4 linked regions of the Coturnix japonica genome follow. The protein of the gene in region 1 binds, or shares a complex with, the protein of each later gene. Links are inferred from orthologs where the notes say so. Each region holds a gene or a part of one and is shown on either strand. Other genes may lie near its edges.

Evidence for each region.
Region 2: the proteins of GDF5 (region 1) and BMPR1A are in contact, whole or in part, in a crystal structure (PDB 3QB4), measured with the Homo sapiens proteins. The link is inferred for Coturnix japonica from reciprocal best matches to the Homo sapiens genes GDF5 and BMPR1A. Residues at the interface, in NP_000548.2 of Homo sapiens: Arg399, Phe435, Pro436, Leu437, Ser439, His440, Glu442, Pro443, Asn445, Val448, Ile449, Leu452, Ser455, Met456, Pro458; in NP_001393490.1 of Homo sapiens: Gly65, His66, Cys67, Pro68, Ile77, Thr78, Phe83, Ile85, Glu87, Cys100, Met101, Lys102, Glu104, Gly105, Phe108, Gln109, Asp112, Ser113, Lys115, Ala116, Gln117, Arg120, Ile122.
Region 3: the proteins of GDF5 (region 1) and TWSG1 are in contact, whole or in part, in a crystal structure (PDB 8BWL), measured with the Homo sapiens proteins. The link is inferred for Coturnix japonica from reciprocal best matches to the Homo sapiens genes GDF5 and TWSG1. Residues at the interface, in NP_000548.2 of Homo sapiens: Glu434, Phe435, Pro436, Ser439, His440, Glu442, Asn445, Val448, Ile449, Leu452, Ser455; in NP_065699.1 of Homo sapiens: Cys26, Lys28, Cys31, Ala32, Ser33, Val35, Ser36, Leu39, Ile40, Cys44, Gln45, Cys46, Arg47, Cys73, Val74.
Region 4: the proteins of GDF5 (region 1) and RGMB are in contact, whole or in part, in a crystal structure (PDB 6Z3J), measured with the Homo sapiens proteins. The link is inferred for Coturnix japonica from reciprocal best matches to the Homo sapiens genes GDF5 and RGMB. Residues at the interface, in NP_000548.2 of Homo sapiens: Leu396, Arg399, Phe435, Pro436, Leu437, Arg438, Ser439, Asn445, Val448, Ile449, Leu452, Ser455, Met456; in NP_001353437.1 of Homo sapiens: Gln57, Thr60, Phe63, Val64, Thr67, Ser68, Leu70, Asn71, Tyr88, Leu103, Val104, Ser107, Ala108, Leu110, Gly111, Ile112, Asp114, Leu115, Gln118.

Annotation. Positions count from the first base shown.
Region 1 is NC_029535.1:1,101,712-1,107,507, reverse strand, and holds the start of GDF5 (growth/differentiation factor 5), read right to left. Parts: upstream 3,306-5,796; 5' UTR 1,972-3,305; coding exon 1,338-1,971; intron 1-1,337. Other genes in the region: centrosome-associated protein CEP250, read left to right, coding at 4,915-5,016. UniProt on the Homo sapiens protein: Growth factor involved in bone and cartilage formation. During cartilage development regulates differentiation of chondrogenic tissue through two pathways.
Region 2 is NC_029521.1:1,763,106-1,768,660, reverse strand, and holds the start of BMPR1A (bone morphogenetic protein receptor type-1A), read right to left. Parts: upstream 3,560-5,555; 5' UTR 3,453-3,559; intron 3,010-3,452; exon of another isoform or gene 2,748-3,009; intron 1-2,747. UniProt on the Homo sapiens protein: On ligand binding, forms a receptor complex consisting of two type II and two type I transmembrane serine/threonine kinases.
Region 3 is NC_029517.1:88,834,967-88,840,662, forward strand, and holds the start of TWSG1 (twisted gastrulation protein homolog 1), read right to left. Parts: upstream 3,782-5,696; 5' UTR 3,767-3,781; coding exon 3,721-3,766; intron 3,478-3,720; coding exon 3,317-3,477; intron 1-3,316. UniProt on the Homo sapiens protein: May be involved in dorsoventral axis formation. Seems to antagonize BMP signaling by forming ternary complexes with CHRD and BMPs, thereby preventing BMPs from binding to their receptors.
Region 4 is NC_029547.1:45,528,604-45,533,029, forward strand, and holds part of RGMB (RGM domain family member B), read right to left. Parts: intron 3,165-4,426; coding exon 2,496-3,164; 3' UTR 1-2,495. UniProt on the Homo sapiens protein: Member of the repulsive guidance molecule (RGM) family that contributes to the patterning of the developing nervous system. Acts as a bone morphogenetic protein (BMP) coreceptor that potentiates BMP signaling. Promotes neuronal adhesion.

The sequences.
Region 1 (5,796 bases):
AGGAGTTCCTGAGCTTGCCCTTTAGAAATGTCAGTTCTTTCACCAGTGGGCATTTTCTAGCTTCAAAGTAGCCCTTAGCCAATTGGAAAACCGTCATTTATAAGGTCTGAGGGCTCACAGGGCCTATTCACCACTTACATACCACTTACGTTACTGAAATGGGTATTCAGTGGTGCCCAGGCCTCATGCTGGCTCCAACATTACCCTTAGACAATACAATAGTCATTAGTCCTTTAAAACCAGCATCCCCCAGGAACACAAAGATAATTGCCTCATTAACTCTGCTCCGCAGAGTTCACAACTTTTCCATACTGGGCAGAACAACAGACCTCCCTTTAACCTGACTCTGTCTTTGCCTGGTTAAACCTGCGAGCGGCACTAATGAGGAATATGCCCAAACCAACATTTTATCCATGTTTCAATAACAGCGCCTTCCAGTGGTCAGTCAAGGATCTGAACACAGCACTGCTCAGCTGCGTGCCATCCCATCCCGAAAGCCAAACTATTCTTGATTAAACAGCAAACAAACCCAGTCCTGGCTGAGTCTTCAATCACTATTATGTAATTAGCTGTGGCCTGTGTTGCTTCCTTAATTCCATGACCAAAGCTCTCATTAACGTCACCAGAAGCAACATGGAGATAAGCCTCCCACTGGGACGGCAAGGTGAACATCTTTCTTTGGTTATGTGTTGTGTGAGAGCAGACACTAGGCCAAATTTCCAATAAATTTGGAACCATAACACTGAACCGCAAATTAGGGAGTCCCAGAAGTTATTTACACTCATTAGCCCATGTTTAGCTGTGAGCTTCTGTGGTTAGAAGGCTGGTAGTGTCTGAAAGCATGAGATTCAAGCTCATACAGGTACACCAGCGCCACTCTATAATGACTCCTGGGTCTACATTGTAGTTCCTCCCAGCTCATCCTTGGACAAACTGGGGTGACCTCCAACACTGAAACGTGTGTTTTTCCGCAGAACAGCCCCTTTCTCAGCAGAGAATGTGTTTTCAGACACACTTAGCAATAAAATCAAGCAACAGTATCCAGGATCTTCCTACTGAAATAGCATAAGATCAAAACGTGAAAGTTTCTGAACAACTAAACCCTCAAGGACTAATGGATTTTCAGAAATATGCACCTGAAATATTCTAATGTTTTGCTTGGCTGCCATGCTACCATCTATTTCTGCCTCTAGAGGAATCTGCCAAGATAAGGACAAAACCTACAATTTCATTCTCATTAGAAAGAGCTTTCTGCCTTTAACAACATACAGTTATGTTCTAGTAATGCTCGTGCTCAGATGTCCCTCTGTCCACACACACGTGAGCTCCCCTCTTACCTTGTCCTTTGTCTATAAAGCTGGTTATTGTATTGGCAAGTCCAGCCTCCAGTTTTACACTTCCATTAACACCTTTTCTTTCTGCGTCTGAGAGAGTCCTGTACAAAGAGAGCATGTATTCATGTGGCGTTATAGGGGGCTGTCTGAAAGCTTCCTTAGCTTCCCTTTGGGTGACAGGCTCTTTAGTCTTTTTCGTTTTGAAAGCGCTGCTATCAGCACTGCTCGTGCTGGGTTTTTTCAAAGCCGTCTTGCTGCTAAGATTTGGGACCTTTGGAGTCACCGTCCTTACTCCAGAAGGTCTGCTCGGGAGATGTCCTACCTTTGCCTCTGAGGCAGCTGCTCTTGAAAGAACCCTCTGTGATTCGTCGTTCTTGGCCAGCAGAGCTCCAGGCTGAGCAGCATTGCTTTTAGTCCTTGCCTTCGAGGTCCCGGTGCTAAATCCATGGTTCGCAGCCCGTGGCGTGCCTGCCCGTGCTGAGGGAGTCCTCTCCTTTCCTTCTGCTTTTAACAAATCTGTTTTAGACCCCGGATTACTCTGGCCTGCTTCAGAATTGCTCAGTGCTCCAGGAACTAGATCCAGAGACAGCCAAGTCAAATGCCAAAGCAGTAAAGTGAGAAAATGCAGGATTTTCATCCTCTGGTCTTCCTCTGAATGCCGCTAAAGAAAAAATCAGGGAAGGTTCCTCCAGTTTGGCAGAAGAAAACATGAAAGAAATTAAAAACCAAAGTCAGCAAAAGTGGTTTTCGATCGAGATTAAAACATTGCAAATCTGGTTGTTCAGTGCTCGTATCCAGTCCCATAGTGGAAATGCTCCTGCTCTCAGACGCGCTCTCCCCTGACTTCAGTTCGTGGCTGTAAAGGGCTCGTTCTTGAAAAGAGAAAGTTTACCACCTCGTTTTCTTCTGTAAAACTGACTGAAAAGTTGAAGGAGTCCTGTTTAAATCGGAGGGGTTTTTTTTCCGAGAAGGAAGAATGGCGTAATGCTGCCTCTGTGTTAAAAGGGCTGTTTTTTTTTTTTTTAACGTTTTGAATCCTTTCCAGTGAAAATATTTCACACACAGAGACCTGCAGGTGCTCAGAAATCTTTTACAAACCTGAGCTCAGGAATTGGAAACGGAATTCCAACAAACCGATTTAATTACTCTCTGATGTCATGCTGTCTAAACTAATTTAACTGCGATATATTTCTTTAAAAAAAAATCTTCTTTGCCCTTTTCATGAGCATGACTCATTCCCTGCCTCATGTGAAACAGCTCCGCGGGCTCAGGGCTCCAGAGGACGCGTTTTGGAGCGGCGGCACAACCTCTCCTTTCGCCTTCCATCAACTTCACGTTTAAATGGGACAAACTGCGAGACGGACAGCCGGGACCCGTCCTGCGGCCCACGGGAACGCGCACATGAAAGCCTCGGTGCGTAACCCCGTCCTGCTCCTTATTGCTGGAGCTGCGGCTTCGCTTTGCCCTCCAGCGACTCAGCTAACGAGGCAGGCGATGAATTTGGTATAACGCAGCACCGCCGTGCCCGCAGTCATCGCATGTTGGTGTTTTTATTGCTACGCTTTGAACAAACCCGCGTAACCCAGCTGCAGGAGAAGGCTGTGCAGGCACTGCTCCCTGCAGGCGGCCCCGCTCCTGCCAGCAGCACGGCTCGGGCTGCTCTGAGCCGGGGCGCAGCCGGGACGGAGCTTTTGTGAACCCGAATGTAGGAGAGCTCCCTGCCCACAGACAGGGGAAGGATGGGAGGAGGGAACCGGAGCTGCTGACGTGGGAAGGGTATCTGCTGCTGTCAGCTGTACTCCGGGGAGCACGGAGCGAGAGTGTCTTTCATGCAGTACAAAAAAATGAGCTGTTGTTGTTCTGAATGAACCTTGGGGAAATGAGGCACTGGGCTGGAGTGAACGGGGATTAATGGGACCCTTCTCTCATCCAGCGCTGTGCTGAGCCCAGCCCTCCCCTCCCAGTCACTTATTCCTGAAGCAAGAATAAAGGGGATAGATACAACAGCCTCGATTTTAGCTTGAATTGGACGTGCTGCGGCATTTTCCACTCTGACATGAAATTACTTTCATAAATAACAACCTGCAGCCCTTTCCATATGACACGCTTAGAATGCTTTACCATATTCCAGTGGAGGAACCAAAGGGCAGAACAGCTTAGTGACCGCACAGATGTCACAAATGAGGGAGAACAAAAACCCCACCCTCTCAATTTTGGCCTAATTGCCATTTCTCTGCAGTCAGTTTGATGTTTCCCATCAAAACAAAGCAGCTTTTCCACGAGTTACTTCCAACAGGCCCCTTCCCCAACAGTTCCTTCGTGCTGTCCCCATAACCCTCAGCCATGCTGTCCCTTCCTCCCACCCTCATTATCCACCTTCCTGCAGGCAGACAGGTGTGCTGTGTTGGTTCTGCCCACAGAAACAGCCAAGTGCTGAGTTCATGCTCTTATTCTATGAGGGATGCTCTGAAAGTGATGCCTCCTACTGTATGCTGTTGGCCCATGATGACAGAGGCAGGTGTTGGAGGAATGGCAGTAGAAACTGAACCTTCCCACCCACACGCTGTTCCTTTCTGCTGTTATATGGCAGATGGCAGCAGAGGGAGAGCCTGATAGGATGGCATCTGACATGGAGTCGCACATGGAGCAAAGGGATGGAATCACATTCCTCCATGTAGAAAAGCCAGCACCCAAACACTCTGTTTGGCTCTGTCAGTGTTACTGTATGTGTTGTATCTGTTGTGGTTTGCATGGAAACCTATCTAGGAGGCGTCACTTTTGGGGTACTCCAGTTTTCACAACACCGGTAAGAGTTCTGTATCTTTAAGATCTCTCCTGTTCCATCAAACATGGTTGAGATTCACAGATACAGAAACGATTGGGCAGATGGACAGGAAAGGGCAGAAGGTGAGACAGTGTGACTCCATAGGCCTTGTCTCATGGTAAATCAGACTAACAGCACAATTGGTCAAATGCTCACCCAGTATTTACACATCTGAGATGAATGTAACTTTCCATTTTTATTGAACACCAACTGATACTGCCAGTCACAAGTAAAAGAATGAACCAAACTGGGGTGAATCAGTCTCACAACCAGGACATGGGAGCAGGAGGAGTGTGAAGCTGGAGATGCTGAGCAGCTCTGCGGGAACTTCCCTGGTGGGCCAATGGGGACAGAGCTACTGTGAGCTGCTCTGAGCAAAGCCCCAGGTCTCCTTCAGCTCTCAGGAGGCACCACCCGTTATTCCTGTCCCCTGTGTGATTTCAACCAGATTCTTCTGGCCAAACTGCTATTCCTGGAGCTTGGCCCCTGGGGCTCCCGCCTGTCACCAACACGGTGCTGCGATGTGAGCGCTGTCAGACCTCTGCGCTCCTGTGGATCTGCCCATCTGATGTTTAATCCGCCATAGCTGAATTCACCTCCCTCACATTCAGCTTCCACCGTACACGACTCAGTCTCAGCACACACAGCGCTGTACCCGGTGGCAGCCCCTGTGTCGGGCACGGCGCGCTTCCCGCCGCACACCCGCCGTCCTATCGCCGCGGGGCTCAGCGGGCGGGGCGGGGCCGAGAGCGGGGCATGGCGGCCAGGGAGGCGGCGCGGGGCCAGGCCTGGCGGCGGCACGGAGCGGGGCAGGCGCGGCAGGAGCCGGCGGTGTCGGTGCGGGAGCTACAGGAGAAGGTGAGGGGAGGGCGGGACAAGGCGCGGCACAACGCGGTGCCCGGAGCACGGAGCACAGGCCTCGGGAGCCGCCCGACCAGGCCCGTCCCGTCTGGGCGCGGCCGGAAGGGGGGAGCTGTGCGGGCAGCGCGGGGCCTGAGTGAATCGAGGGGAAATAACGGCGGTCATGGGGGCTGCGGAACTTTCTGCCCTTTGGAAGGTTCGGTTCGGGGACGAAGCGGCAGCAGTTGTGCCGTTGGAGCGCAGGAGGCGGTGCGGCCTTTCTGTAAATGAGGAGCTGCTCGGGCGCTCAGAGACCGGAGTGTGGCTGAGTTACCGGCTGCGTGGTTTGACGTGTGAGGTGCTGGAGCACAGGCGGCAATAGCAGAGATGGCAAAGACACGTTTCCTTCTGCAGGCCCCGGCAGAATCCCGCCCGTTACCGTTCAGGCTCTGCCAGCTGATTTTCCACTTACTTTAGTACTCCCGAAGCGCTGCTGTATGTCCCAGCCATCAGCTGTGCACTGACCTGGCTGCCCTGAGTCCCTCCGGCTGAGCCATTCTCAACATACAAGAGCTTTCCCCTCCCTTTTGTTTTGCTGTTTGCATCTTAATTGTCTGCGTTGCAAGAAACTGTATCCTGGATGTGTCCAAACAGTGGGGTGTGGGAGGGAATCCTGCACCTCTGTGCTGCACTGTGACACCTCACCTGGAGCACTGCGTCCACAGGTGGAGCCCTCAGCACAGGACAGACATAGACCTGTTGGTTCACATCCAGAGGGGGGCCACAACAATGAACTGA
Region 2 (5,555 bases), on another chromosome or scaffold:
AACACTATGGGGCATGGTGCCTGTGTCTCTGCATCAGCACTATAGACTGAACTTTCAACTGAACAAATAGGGAAGAAAACACCAACAAATGGACTAGAAAATGATATCTGAACGTAGAAGCCAGGCTGCATCCTCCATCATCCTTATCACTGATTCTATATCCAAGGAATTCTCTCTTAGCATGAAATGCACTAAGATGTGCATCAAATCTTTTGTGAGCAGAATGTTAATTCTTTGTAGCAGCAAAGTCTTGCATGATTTTGGGCCACAGAACTCGGACTCTACCCACTGATTTCCAGTATAGTCTGGCATCAGGCTCTTACAAAGGAAGTGTAAATGCACATGAACAGCTCCTCCCCCCGCCCCCCAACTTGAGAAAAAGTCGTTAATAATTAACACTGTTAAGACGAGGCTGCAAGAAAAGCAAGTTTAGGAGATTTCAACAGCTGCAACAGTGAAAAGGAAGGAGCTTCCACAAAGCAGGTCTGAATTCACACAACCTGTGCACAATCATGAGCTAGAATTCACTTGACTGCTTTAATAACTATATTGATCATACTTACCAATTCATTCTGAAACAGTACAGCAGAGTGAAATGCATGGAACTCAAAAGAAACAGAAGGATGACTATAAGAAATCCACTAGGAAAATGGCAAAGACTAGAGCTGCTGCTTTATAGATATGAAAGAGAATGATCGCACTGCCTACAGCATCTGTGTAGAGTTGACAACAGCGTCACAACCAGAAACTCATGCATCTCATCTCTGATGTAGCACAAATGAAGAACTCGAGCCTCATGTTACACTAAAAACACTGATACAAAATACTCCAGTTGTCAACTGACTACAGTAAACTTCAGTGTCCTCTCACTGCTGCGATTCCCATGCAGTTCTGGAGTGCTCCATCTCACACAGTGGTCAGACCAGCAAGAGGCTGCAGCTTACTCTCTCAGCAAGGACACAGCCTCATAGGAAAACAAAGGGAACCTAACATTCACCCTCCCTAGAGGAAAATGAAATCCTTGATATTAAAGAGCAGGAGAAAAATTGCTTTGTTTTGTTGAGGGAAGCACAAAACATACGCCTAGAGCACAAAGTACTCGGTGTGTTTTTGGACCGAATCCCTCACACAAGAGCTATACTGAGTTAAAAGAATAACTCGGGGGGGGGGTAGATAAAATGACTATTTCTGAGAAAAATCAACTGCTCTACAGACTTCACTGCGACTTTTAAGTGACGACAGGAAAGAGAGACAGAAATTCCTTGCTTTCCCTTTAAAGCACCGAATGTTTCAGAAAGCACAGAGACTCCATGACATCACCATGACTAGGAATAATCAGCGAGGGTTTGGTAGAGCAACTGCAAAAGATTTTTGCAGCTCTCGTTCAGGGAAGAAAAGGCACTAAATCATCAGCTGCTACAGGCAAGGCAGCCGTCAAAAATCAAGTACACACACTGCCCCCCACCCCCACACACATTTGAGGAACATTAACGTGTCTAAGCACTCCATCAGTACCTACATATAACAGCTCTGAAGTGACTTACGTGATTTATTTACAGAAAATATTAAGGTATGTGAAGCAAAACCCAGGCACTGAAGACGTTCTCTGTCCCCCCCCCCCCCCCCCCCCCCCCTCAAACGAGGAACCAAAAACCTCACACAGACAGAAAGATCCGATGCCTGACAAAAGCAAGGGAGGAACACTTGCATCTGTAGAACATGCCATCTTGTCTGTTTACCCATCTATGCTTAGCAGAGCTTCAGAAGCTCCATGTGTCAGACATTTAGCTGCACTACAAGGAGATACCATCCTCACTACGGAAGTTGCCATCCACAAGTATCATTTGGTAGTCACATTATGTCCCATTTGCTTCTTGGAGAACAAATACAACCCTGTTGTCATTCCTACCTTTAAACCAAGGCAGAAAATAAATACAACCCTAAGCCACCCACCTACTGCTTGCTTTTCAGGACTCCAGGAAGTAGACAAAGCTATTTATTGTTTCTTCAGCGTGCTTTTTTCTTTGCAGCCCAATGCTTTGTGACAACTCAGATCACAGTAACTTTCATCTATGGGAAGCACATGTCCTTTCTAAAGGAAGTTAGCTGAACCCCCTTGCTTTGGGCAGGGGCTGGACCCAGTGACATCCAGAGGTCCCTTCCAAACCATATCTTTCTCATTTTAAAGAGAAGGATTCCAGTCAGCCCACATGAATTCACTGTCTCCAAACAGAGAGACCAAAGGCATATACAGAGAACTGGCAACTGAAGATTGCAACTATGCATTAATATCTCTGACAGAGCTCCACACTCAGAGCCTGCAGGGCATGCATGTGTCCATACAGAAATACAAACCACACAGACCCTAACACAACAAACCGCAAGTGTTGAAAGATCTATACGAAAGTAACCAAAGTAAAGACACAAAGGATACACACTGTCAACAAGTATTCAAGTAATATTTTCAGGCTGCTACCAATGCCACAACGTGGGGGTCTTACTAACTATAGGCTGGAAGAGCAGGTCTGAATATCAACCGGTCTCATGCAGCTCCTTACTCCAACATAAGGTTCTACTGAGAACCAAGGAACAGTTTGAGCCCAGGCCATCATAGAAGGAGCTGCTCCACTCGCACAGAGGGCAGGCACCAAGCAGCTGACAGGGTATGGAACCCAGCAAATCGTTACCCGTCCTCAAGGAACGCAAAACACAACAAAACACAGCTCACAAACACAACCACTCCGCACCTGGAAGCGTCCCCATTGTACGGCCTTCATCACAACAGGCCACACGACCGCGCTACAGCCTCCCACCGCTCCTTGATGCCGAATTCACTCTTAGTCGTACAGAAGATGAAAGGCTGATGAAAGGCCATTCAAGTTTTTCAGCCTCTTCGGGACATCTCGTCACCAGGTTTAACCGGAACCGGACGGCGGACGCTCACGGTGCCGCGGGATGCCCAGGCGGCTCCTCACCGCCCAGCAGCGGCGGGTCACGGCTCGGCATTAGTGCCGTCCCCCCGCTCCCCGCGGCCTCCCGGAGCCGCTCGCAGGCCCCGCTCAGCCGCCGGCTCGGCACCGCGCCTGGAATTACAACACCGCGGGCGCAGACGCAGGGGGAGGGCGAAGGCGGCCAGACAGAGCGGCGTGCGCCGGGCCTGCCCGGCCCCGCAGGCGGCCCCGTGCCCACGCAGGAAGCCGCCGGCCCCGGGAGCCGCCGCGCTTCGCCCGCCGACGGTCTCCGAGCATCGGCCCGACCCGCGGAGGGCGCTCGGCGGGGAGAGCGGCCGGGCCGGAGAGCTCGGAGCAGAAGGGCCGAGCCCGCAGCCGACGGGGAGAGCGGGCCGGGGGCGGGACGAGGGCCCGGTGCTCGGAGCCCCGCGGGCCGAGAAGGGGTGGAACGCAGGAGCGGGGCGCGGCGCTCCACACCGCCCGGCACGACCCCGCACTCACCGCTCCTGGAGGCTCCTCATCCTCTGCGGCGGGACGGAAGGCGAAGCAACACGGAGCCGCTCCCGCTGCGTTACGCAGGCCGCGCCCGGAACCCCGACGGCTCCTGTAAGACGGGAGCGAAGGCGGCCGAGAGCCGGGAGGGGGAGGGCGGGGCGGGGCGGGGCGGGGCGGGGCGGCGCAGGCTCGCTCCCCGGCAGCGCTCCCGACGCCCGGCGCGTCCCTGCGGAGCTGGAGGGCGGGCGGGGCGGGACGGAGCCGGATTCCAATCACGGCACCCGTGGAGCCCGGCCGCGCGCACGGAGGAAGGAGGGGGAGAATGGGGACGAGCGCGAAGCAGCAGCAGCTCCATCGGCTGCCGGGGAGAGGCGTGAGACCGCTCCTAGGAGCGCTGCCGCTTCTATTGACACGTGCGCTGGGCGGGAGGGCTGCCGGGGCACACCGAGAAAAAGCCGGCCGCTCTTCCTCCCCAGGAGCTCTTCTCCTGGGTGGAGATGCCGCATGGGGCTCCGTGCACCGCCGGCCGAAGGGCCGTCGAGCAGAGCTTTGCCGGTGCAAAGGCGCGGCAGCTCCTGTAGGAGGAGACAGAGAGGTGCGAGGGGCAGCGCGGCCGGGTGCGCTGCGGAGGTGGGGATATCGCAGCTCCTTTGTTTGGGGGGCATAGGGTAACGATGGGAGCTGCCCGTGGATCACTGCTCACGCTGATCCTTGGAAAGCTTGGCATCCCAGTGCCGTAGGAGAGATAAGAGTGGCATTATGGTGAACGGAGTTGTTCGTTTTGCTTTTTTCCATTTCCTGTTTCTTTAAATAAACGAAGCTGGCTGGTTAGATTGGAATACATCATACCTTCTGCACTGAGCTTCTCTGCTTGCTGATAAGGCTGCTGAAGGCTATGATTTGCATTGCATTTCTGAGCTCGTCGTCATTAGGACACATTACCCAAGTACCAATTTGTCTGTCTGTCTCCCAACAGTGGTGCAGAAGGAGCTTCATAACACTGTGCCATGGGATGAGCAGCTTGCATGGGCTGAACCTTGCACTCAACAGACTCTCATGTTGACATGGTCCCATTACACAGTTCTGTGCCAAGAATTTTGTACACGGGGCCAACTATAGGGGGAAACAAAGACCACACTAACCTGCTCGCTTTCCCTCTGCTATTGACCAAGACACCCTTTAGGCCATTTGCCTGCCCAGATAAGCTGTTTTTGGATAGTAACCAATTGGGAAGGAATCTCACTTAGCCACATGTGTGTATGATGTGGGAAACCCTGCTTTGCTCGTTGTGCTGACCTCTACACAGTCCAGCTCCATTTTTGTCTGCTAGTGTCATATAGAGTTTATGTTGTCCCATTTGTGTGTAAGATGAGCACATTGGCTTTGTAATATAGTTCACATGTGTTGTACACGTGGATTGTTAGGCAACTGCTTAGCTTGCATTCTATCCCGTATAGTAAAACAAAAGAGGAAGTACATTCAAACCTATCTGCTTTGCAGACTCTTTTAAAACACAAGCAATTAAAGGCACACCTAGTAAGTGTAGGTGGCCAGATACTAGAGAAAGGCATTAAAAATGCAATTCTTGCATTACTAGACTTGTAGAAAATTTTTTCCGATGAGCCAGAAAAAAAAATGTCAGTGTCCAAAACAAAGACAGCCAAGAAAGACAAAATCACAGCGCTCGTGCCAAGCAATACAGAACTTGTATGCTTATGTTTATCATTTCAAAGGAAAATATGAGTCTGCTGTTCCTCCACTCTGCCTATTATCAGATTATAGCAGCAGAATAGACGCTCAATATGGAAGAAGAATGCAACATGCATGTGTGTGCTCCCAAGCAGAACCAAAGCTGTTGGAGCTAGCATCTCTTTCAGTAATAATCTGTGTGGTAATACAGCCCTGCATTTTTTCAGATGTCGGATAGCCATTTAAATCCATTATTGACTGAATTCAGCCAAAGCCACTAGCCTTGAAAATTGCTTTTGAGCCCGCTTATGAAACAGATCAACTGTTTTCATCTGATTGCTCATAAGTAATTCTACATCTCACAAAAACTACTCTCTCAGCTGGTACTTTTTAAAGCACTCGGGCACTGAAGGTGTCTAA
Region 3 (5,696 bases), on another chromosome or scaffold:
GAGCCAGTATGTGGGAGGAGGCGACTCTCCATAAAATATTAAATGCAACGTGTGAATCAAAGCCAGAAAATTCACTGAATTCGAGTTATTGCAATTTCATAGCTTGTATTATGCTGTTTAGGAGTATTCTCACGGAATTAAAAGTAGTCTTAACTTCCACACTTGCAATACAAAAATATTGTCATAGAATGGGTTAGGTTGGAAGGGACCTCAGAGCCCACCCAGTCCCACCCTGTGCCGTGGGGCAGGGCTGTCCCCCAGCAGCTCAGTTGCCCAGGGCCCCATCCAGCCTGGCCTTGAGCACCTCCAGGGATGGGGCACCACAGCTTCCATGGGCAGCTGTGACAGCGCCTCACTGCCCTCTGAGCAAGTGCATGTCTGTATTCTTAGTGTCTATATGCACAAGGATTACCTAGGGATCACATCGCTATACCTACTGGTACTTTAACAAGTTTATTTTTACAGATAAGGGTTAGGAACATCTATTTTCCTAAAAAAAAAAGAAAAAAGAAAAAACTTGGAGGAAGAAAGGAGAAGAAAGAGCAAGTGGTTGGTCTTATGCACAGCTCTTCAACCCCTCCTCCCCAGGGCTGTCCCTGCAGGGCAGTAATCGTATGTTTTTCCATCCATGCGTTTGCATGTCCACTGTTTCCTTAACCACACTCAAGTTCCTCCTACTGACTCACCCGGACCGGACACTTGTACAGGATACATCTCCTTAAAAGAATGCTTCCATGGGACGTGGGTGAAGTGAAGCAGAAAGAGAAACGCTCCCTGTTGATGGCTGGGGGTGGCGAGGCGTCAGTGGAAGAAAATATTACTCATAAGTGAGCCTGGCAGCTGCCCAGGCTGAACTACTGAAGGTGCACCAGTATTCTGCTAGGCAAGAAGCGAGCCTCCCTCGTCTAAAAATACAGCATGAAAGCAGGAAGCAGGCATGTTTGTACAATAAAGGTATTTCTGCTCCACAGAGCAAATAAAGCCTTTTACAAGGTATTTAACATCTGCATTTTTTTTTCCAAACTTTCTTGAAGTGACGGAGACTGTTTTCTCAGCGTGGCGAGAAACAGGACCTGGAGGCATTGGCAACCTCTCTGCAAACTGGAGGAGGGAATGAAAGAAAATAGCTCGTGTTTTTTTCCTAGAACAGTTTAATAACAGAAAATCTCCTGGAAGCAAACCAGACGGGATTATTTTGCTAACCCGACCGCGTTACGTTCTACAGCTACAAAACACACTTTGGTAGAATTGGATACGCAAGCCTCGAAGTTAAAATGTGAGAGCTATTTCATATCACAGGGCAAAAGAATGTCTTGGAAATACTTGCAAGGTGGGAAGCTCATGCCCAACATTAACAAGAGGGGAAGATAAACCTGCAGCAGGCATCACCGACAGTGGCATAAATGATGTAAGTCACGGTGTGCCCACTCAGTGTTCTCATCTCTGTGCATGGGAACCCCGAAGCAGAAGAAATGCTGGAGGAGGAGGGGTGCCAGGCACCACTAAGGCCAGCAGCCTGCCCAAGGAGTGGGACAACAGCGCCGCTGGGACTCAAGGATGAGCTGTGCCCAAAGCCAGGAAGGGAGCTGAGCTTGTGGCCCCTCTCTGCTCCTGGGTCTCACCCACAGCTCCTCCAAAAGTGCAGAATACACCAAGTTTCTGCAGTGGTGAAGCCAAAAGGGAGAGGTTCCTCAAGCTATTTGCTCATGGAAAACAACATAAAATCCCAACACAAAGGCACCAGAAAAGCTACAGCCATCAAGACCTAAGAGGAAAGCTGAACGCGTACAAGTTGTTGGTCTCACGCTCTGTCCTGGATTAAAGAAATAATATTTATGCAAGGACCACCCTTGAGCTGAGCAGCTCCTAAGGAGTGGCAGTAATGACTGTACTGAGGCTGGCACAAATATTTGTGTTAACCATATGGTTTTTGAGAGCCCCACTGCTCCCACAGATCCAGATGGCCAACACCACGTCTTGCCTGCACCCCAGTAACCTCAGAGCCACACTGATTTGGCTTCAAGCCATGTAGCGAGCCAAACTAGAGAGATGATAGAAACAGAATAGGGAACTGCATGATGGGATAGTCCAGCAAACTCACTGTTAGCAAAGTACTTTTTAGTACTTTTAGGGTTTAGAGGGAAACAGGAACACTCAGATATACCGTAGTACACACCCACCCAAGAAGTATGACATACTTCAGAGAGCAGCGCAATGCTTCTGCTGCAACAACACTTGAAGATTTAAGAATAAAGAATGAAAAAGCCGAGATGAGAGATAGCAACAGCTTGGTCAGAGCTCCAGGAGTCTCCCCACCTGCTTTCTGACCTATCTGCCTCCGTTGCTCATTGACCTGTGACCACACACAACCCCAACACTGTAGTGTCTCAAAGAGCAATGTGCGGTCCTTGATTTTGGAGAAATGCTTTAAGAATGGGTCCCACATCACCGATACAAAGTAAGAGAGCACACCCCTAGGGCTGTGCTGCTAAGGAGATACCAATGCTTAAGCAAAACACAGCACTATCACTGAAAAACAGTGCCGTAGTCACTGGGTACATAAGTCAAAAGCCTGTCTCCCTCATTTAACAACTCTGTAGACAATGGCTGAGAAGCAGCACTGTTTTCAATTATTTTTTCCATTTAAAGCAATGGCAGTGCAGAAGTCGGAAGGATATTTACTGGCATTTGATATTTGCGCTCTCTGCTTTTCCATTTCCAACCTGCATAGAGGCAGCAGGAAGCTGGAACTGACCACAGGAAGTCTCCTTTTCTTCCAGTGTCAGAAAGCGTGCACAGTTCATTGCCCATCAATTCCTGGCCAGTAGGCAGTGGATCTGCTCACAGCTCCTCTAAAAGAACCTCTCACTCTGCTCCCAACCGCTGCTGGAAGAGCAGCTGGGGCTCAGCCATTCCTTCAGCCCTATGGACAGCACACAGTGAGCCAAAAGCAGCAGCTGGGCTCAAGCTGGACATCCACTGCCCACAAGCGCAACTCAAGAGCCCATTTTAAGTGAACTCACACACTTTGGGAGCTTGCTCACCCCCATTAGTAGCCCGAGGTACTTCAGGGTTGTGAGGCATGTTGGAGCTACACCAGTGTTTGTCCTCTCAGAGGGTTTCCAGCCATTTTCAGCTTTACAACCTTCTGTCACGGGGAGTGCCATGCAAGGAGCTGCTCAAGGCCAGGTTGGATGGGGCCCCGGGCAGCTGAGCTGCTGGGGGGCAGCCCTGCCCCACAGCATGGGGTAGGACCGGGTGGGCTTCCAAACAGCTTCCAAACTAAAGGTAAGCAGAGGCAGTGCTGTCGCTATACCTGGATGAGGCACTTGCTGACGTCGCTGGCGCACAGTGCCTTGTTGCAGCCCAGTGAGGAGCGGGCCCACAGCAGCAGCAGCAGCAGCAGCAGGGATGCGCGCAGTGCCGCACACGGAGACTTCATCGTTCCAGCGGTTTGCAGACGGAGCTCGACCAGCACTGAGGCAATTTTTGACCACCAGAAAGAACAAAAAGAGAAACAAAAAGAAGTCAAACATTAAAGAGGCACCACAACAAACCCACCCGCTGCTTCTCTACCGGCAAACCGCTCCGACTGAAGCTTTCTGCTGCTGCACTACGTTAGAACTGCACTGAGCTTCAGGTGAACGAGGTCAGGTTTGTAACATCAGCTCTGACGGCTTATGAGCGGCGACAAATAAAACGCAGCAGCGAAGCCCTAACCTGGAAGGCACGGCGCAGCCCCGTCCACCGCTCTCTCGTGCCCCATCAGCCCGGCACGCAGCGCCCGTTGTTGCACGGCTCGCGGCGAGCCCGCATTGTTCTCACAGGAGGGAAAGCCAGACGGGACGGGGCGGCCGCCGCGCAGCGCCCGGAGCCGCGGCCCCACACCCCGCCGCCGCCGGCGCCCCCCGGCCTCAGGTGCAGCCCTTGGCCCCACAGGGCAGCACGCGGCGGCCGCCCGGCCCCGGCCCCGCTGTCAGGAGCGCCCCGGCAGCGCCGCCCGGCTCCGGGGCACCCGCGGGGCCCTGCGCCGCCCCTCCCGGCCTCCTCCGGCGGGCAGCGGGACGCTCCTCACAAAGCCGCCGCCTCCCCGCCGGGCTCCATCCTCCGGCATCGCGCCTCCGCCCCTCGCCCCCCTCACCGGCCGGGCGGCGGCTGCCCCCGCTTCGCCGGCGGCTCCGGCTGCTCCGCGGACGGCTCCGGCCACCGCGCGCCTCAGCTCGGCCGCGGGCAGCGCAGGCGGCGGTAGCGCGGGCTCGCAGCGCGCACACGGCGCAGGGCCCCGCCTCGGGCCGCCGCCGGGACCGCCCCTCGATCCGCCACCGCCGCTCAGGGGAGGACGAGCGAGGCCACGGCGGGAGGGTGGGGTGTGAGGGCTCTTGAGCGGTATCCTCGTGCTAGGAAGATGCAGGAGGAGCCCTCGATTGGCGGTACCCTAGAAGGGACCTCACAGCCCACCCAGTGCCACCCCGTGCCATGGGCAGGGCTGCCCCCCAGCAGCTCAGCTGCCCAGGGCCCCATCCAACCTGGCCTTGAGCACCTCCGGGGATGGGGCACCACAGCTTCTGTGGGCAGCTGTGCCAGCACCTCACTGCCCTTTGAGTGAAGAGTTTCCTCCTGAAATCTAATCTAAACCTTCCCTTCTGCTATTGCTATCGGAGTGTGTGAAAAGTCAGACCTCTTCCTTTTATAAGCTCTCTTTAAGTACTGGAAGGCCACATCCCCTCCCTGTCCCTGCTGGCCACCCCTCTTCTGATGCAGCCCAAGATACTGTTGGCCATCTGGACTGCAGGAACAGTGCTGGTTCACATCCAGCTTTTCATCTCCCAGGACCCCCAGATACTTCCCTGCAGGGCTGCTTTCACTGAGCTCTTCTCCCAGTGTGTATACATAGCTGTGACTGCACCTACCCAAGTGCAACAAGACCAAAGTGATGAGTTTCATCTCTGAAAGAAAACCCAGGAGGAACTCAGCAGCACCAGGCTTCCCAGGGGGGAGAAGCAATGCCATGTGGCACCCATCCCTCACACTCAACCCCAACCTGCATTGCTTGATGGAAGTAATGGGAATACACTGCAGGACAAACCTGGAAAAGCACAACTGGGACACAGCTTGGATCCAGGTTGCAGAGAGCAGGAGAGCGTGTAGTGTATGGGAACACAGTGTGGGAGCAGAGGGACGTTCAGTAATCAGCATCAACTGAAAACAACCTGTGTGAAACTGTTAACGGGAAGTTATCTCTCTTTGTTGAGGAAACACGGGTAAAGCCTGACAAATAACCAGATCCAGACTTCCTCATAGGGTATACTGTCAAAATAATTTTAATTAACAAAAAGCTGTGTAATCCTTTTGTTAGTCGTGCTGTGAACTGTCTTACTCCAGCCAACCCCAATGCTTCTATCTGCATTTCCCTTACTCTGTGGTTGGTTCTGCAGCACCAGTAATGCGGTCTTGCATAAAAGCAAGAGCTTCCCCCTTCCTCGAGTACCCAGCAAATTTAAAGTGGGGGCAAAAAACAGCTACAGGACAGGAGCTACCTGTGAATTTGTGCTTACTCCAGTATTACTGTGCTCGTGTTACTATCACTTTATTCTCGATTGCAGCCCGCGGTGACGTGCAGCTGGAAGGAGCCTGTTGTCCACAGCCTGTAGCTCACACAGTAGCTCAGCATCACAATGAAGGAGTCCTGGGCGATC
Region 4 (4,426 bases), on another chromosome or scaffold:
TTCCTTTCCACACTGTGATTACCATTCCAGTTGAATATCACAGCTATCATGTATCCTTATCATCATGATACAAAATGTTATTGTATGGATTCTTCTGTACCACTTGTTCTTTCGATGCCTCAAGTTCCTCTATGGAGGTTATTCTGGTCTAAGAATTTCCCAATAACTTTAAAGAAGGATTTTCATCATTATACTCTTCAGGGTGGGCACAGCACCGGGGCCTCTGTAACCTGCTAAAGTTCTTCTAAGCATCTCCCCCAGTCACTGCAAAAGGAATTGTGCCAGTGGGGTTCTGAAAAGGTAGTTCCTACTGTTGGGTTACCCACACACAGCATCCTCAATATACTGGCCTGGTTTGCAGCTGCTGGCCACAGACTTCACTATGCATCTTTAGCAGAGGGGAAACAAGCATCTCAAGATAATACAGCAGTGGTCCTCAGCACGTTCCTACACAACAAGCAATGGCTAGGAAACAAATTGGGGCCTCAATTACAGACTGCTCACCCTGTGGATAACTCATATCCCCAGTTTCCCTGCACCCCACCAGGGGTCACTAACACCACACTACAGACGCTCCTCACCAAGGTAGGTTAACTTTATTCTTCTATCATAATAATTTAAAGTATTTACACACTGCACAGCCACTCTTTTACACTAACATATACTTACTGGTATATTCATGAACCACATCTAAACGTTTTTGAAAAGACTGACACATTTTAGGGTTTCCAAGCATGAAAATAAAATCTGCAGCCTTCTAAAAGACAGCCATTTGGAGCGTGTGTGAAAAAACCACTGTTCCCTCTAAGCTTAAGTTTTCTCCAGAGACCATTCACTAGCTTCAAAATATCCACATTTGGCATTAGCTAAAGCTCTCTTGGCAATGGCAGACTTCAAGAATGAACATGTGCAAATAACATTTTCTCAAGAAATCCCACAGCAGGAACAAGAAAACGGAAAACTCTTCAGGGGAAGTACTACATTTCTGAAATGTTATTTATCTGAAAGGATCACAATTTAATGCACGTATACATATCTGTTGTATATGTATATACACGCTGGATCCAGGGGCAGTGGAAATTAAACGGAATGCAGAGTCTGCCCAAGTATTTTGTGCATCACTGCAGCAATGCCAGGCTTGTCCATCAATTTTCAGCCACGCGCCCTTTAAATTCAGAGCAGAGATAAGGATGCTCTGCCACACAGAACAGGGAGAACCCTGTCACCATCAGGAGAAACTTGGGAAAAATCACATAATCAGACACAGCACAAATCCCTAAATCTAAGTCACCTCAAACAGCACCATCATCTAGTTTGACTGACAGAACAAGCTGCCGGTCAGTCTAGATCAGAAGAATTTTTTATTTAAACCTTCTGCCTTAACTCAGTTCTATGTTCATCTCAAGAATTTCCTTGAGAACAACACCTGCCTGTGGTTACACATCCAATACGGAATTGGTAAGTTTCCTTCTGAAGATTACTGCTGCTCCTATGAGCAAACAGTCTCTAACCCGGACAGAACAAACTTCATAAAAACTCCAAGTTCTTGTTCCTTGAATAAACTACATCTCAATCCACTAAGGCAAACAACAGTACAAGTTCTTTAAGAAAGGCAAACACTAATTGATCTTGTTCAAAGAGCAAGTTTAACTAGCCTCAGATGAACAGCTTCAGGAGTGAAACAAGCCTGTCCTGGAGTTGGAGTACTGCAGCACACAATAAGGCTTCCGTTTCTTGGAGCAGACTGAGGCATCACATAATACCAGCCTTTAAGCCACAGAATCATTGTTCCTATAGCTCCTCAGTAACCGCAGTCAGAACTGGGGCCCTCACTCCTCTCCCTTATTTTAACGTGTTGATGTAATTAACACCTACGAAAGGAGACAGAATTCAGGCATGTGACTTCTCCATGACCATCTCCCATAATGAGTTAACCTTTCAGAGCAGAATCAGCTGTGGTAGTAACTTTGAAAAGGAAATCTTACACCCTAACACAAAGACCATTAGAATCTTTCAGCATAGTCTCTCCCACGGCTCTAAAAAGCTACCAGGAAATTACATACATAATTACAGGACAAGAGAAGTGCTGTCTCTACAGTAAGCGTAGAAAATATCCCCATTAATTAATACAGTAAAAAAATTTGTTTAACTAAGCAGTACCTAGGCAGAGTACTGTAGGTACATGTTTATATGTATAATACACAGTTACTCAGCTACACACAAATATTTAATATATAAAAAATAAAGTGCTTTCTATCAGGTCCCAATGCAAGGACATTATAAAACATTTCACTGACTGTAAAACAAACAGATACAAAGAATACGACATCCAACATACATAGAACAGTTAACACAATATGTACAATCTGGTGGACGTCCCAAGACAAAACATCCCTTCATATACATGGTATATACATATATACTCATCTTTACTCAATATATTATGACAATATATATTTCAAAACTTTGTTAGAGACAAAAACAAAACAAAAACCCTAAAAAAATGCAACAAGGATCAAGCACGCAAGTCCAACACTGACAAAGGATTTGCTACCTTTGCCAACACCACCATCTCCACTGCTGGGAAAGATATGCCAGCGCTCTTTTCTGGGGTGCAGTGCCTCCACATCCTGCAAGGCACTGTGAGCGGCAGCCGTGAAGTTAGCATCGCCAGTGGTGAGGAGGTCAAACACACATGAGTAAAAATAGATGTCCTTCACCAGCATCTTCTCATGGCATTTGGCGGTGGCAGTTTCCAGTGTGTATGCTGACCACGGACGAGCAGCGCCTGCCTGAGGGAGAACCTGTCCTCTCACAGGCAATGGCAAGTGGCCACTGTCATCAATGCGCTCACTTGAAGGGCAGCCGTTCACACACAGCTGCAGATCTTGACTCTCCTCATAGGCCATGGCCAATTCTTGAGGCATGCGAATGGCCAGTGTTAAGTAGTGCCCGAGCTGACGTATATACACTGTTGTCCCGATGTATCTGGCATGCATTTCGACGTATTTGCCGCTGACTTTATCCACAATCTGCAAGCTCTTGGTGTTCCCATCACCTCCACCTGTTGTACCATCAACAAAAGCTGCAGGCAAGTCATCAGACACTGCTTGATATACTTTCTGATCTGTGCAGTGTTGGTATGATTTAAAGATAATAGTTATCTGGAAAAGAGAGAAAAAGAATAAAGAAAAGTTAGTGATTATAGGGGTAAAAAAAAAGAAAAAAGAAAAAAAAAAAAAAAAAGGAGTAATTGGAATCCCTTTTTCATTTTGCACCCAAGATTATTTGGTACTGACTACCCTCTAGTTCATACCCTGATCTTTTTCCTCATTCATACCCAAGCAGAAAACAGCCTGTTCACATGCTTAAAGCAATATTTTCCCAGGTGGCAATTGTTAAATTTGTTCTTAACTTGGCCTGGAAGCAGGACTATTAGCATGTGGCAACTGCAACAAGGTCAGGAAAGGAAAAAGCTGTGTATTTAATTAAGCATCACAACTGCCTCCTGCCTGATGGTTTCTTAACACTTTGGAATGCATCCTGCAGTCACAGATGAGCATGCCAAGTAATTCCCGCACTGCTAGCCACTACAGCAGAACTGGACTGAACTGTGTGAAAGCACAGAAACGACCACAAGGACTAGGCTTCCTTCACACACAATATTCTCATTGCCTCTTTCACAGTGACTGCATGACCCCAAACAGAGTCCTCATTGCTTCCTGGCTGCACTGCCAGGATTAGTGGTGTAAGACTGCCATGAAGGCAGTGATGTGTTTGTGCCAGCCACCAATACAACAAGCGCTGAGGGGAGATACATGACTTGGGAAAAGAACGAGTCCTGGATCCAGGAGCATGTGGATGTGACACTTCAGTCTGCTGCTGTTAGGGAACATGCTGGTGGAGGACCAAAGCAAAACTAAGAGATACTTTGATTACTTTCATCCCGGACAAGACTGAGAGTACTCCAAGATATACTAGAAGATATTTGCAAACTAGTAAAAAGTAGTAGAAAAGTGTAACTTTTCTTAAAAACTACTTTATAACAAGCTCATGTTTTGATTTCACTTGGCCTGCTTACTTCTATACAACAGGTTTTGTTTCCTGCCATAAACAGCTCTATTACAGATAGCTTGACTAAACCTCTAACCTCCTTAGCCTTACCCCTCCATAACAGTTGTAAAAGACAGAAGTCTGCCCTCCTCCTATTGTAATTACTTCTTGGAGCATGCAGCATCCCCTGAGCTGCACTCTCTTTACATTTGACATGTCCCTGTGAGTAGACACTCCCAATCTTTCTGTCCATCTCCCACCCACACAGGCAGCAATCACTGTTTTGACTCAATATGTATTCACTGGTGCAGTCTGAAACTTTCCATCAGTTTTTCACTTATACAGCTAGTTTGACTCAAGCCATATGGTAAAC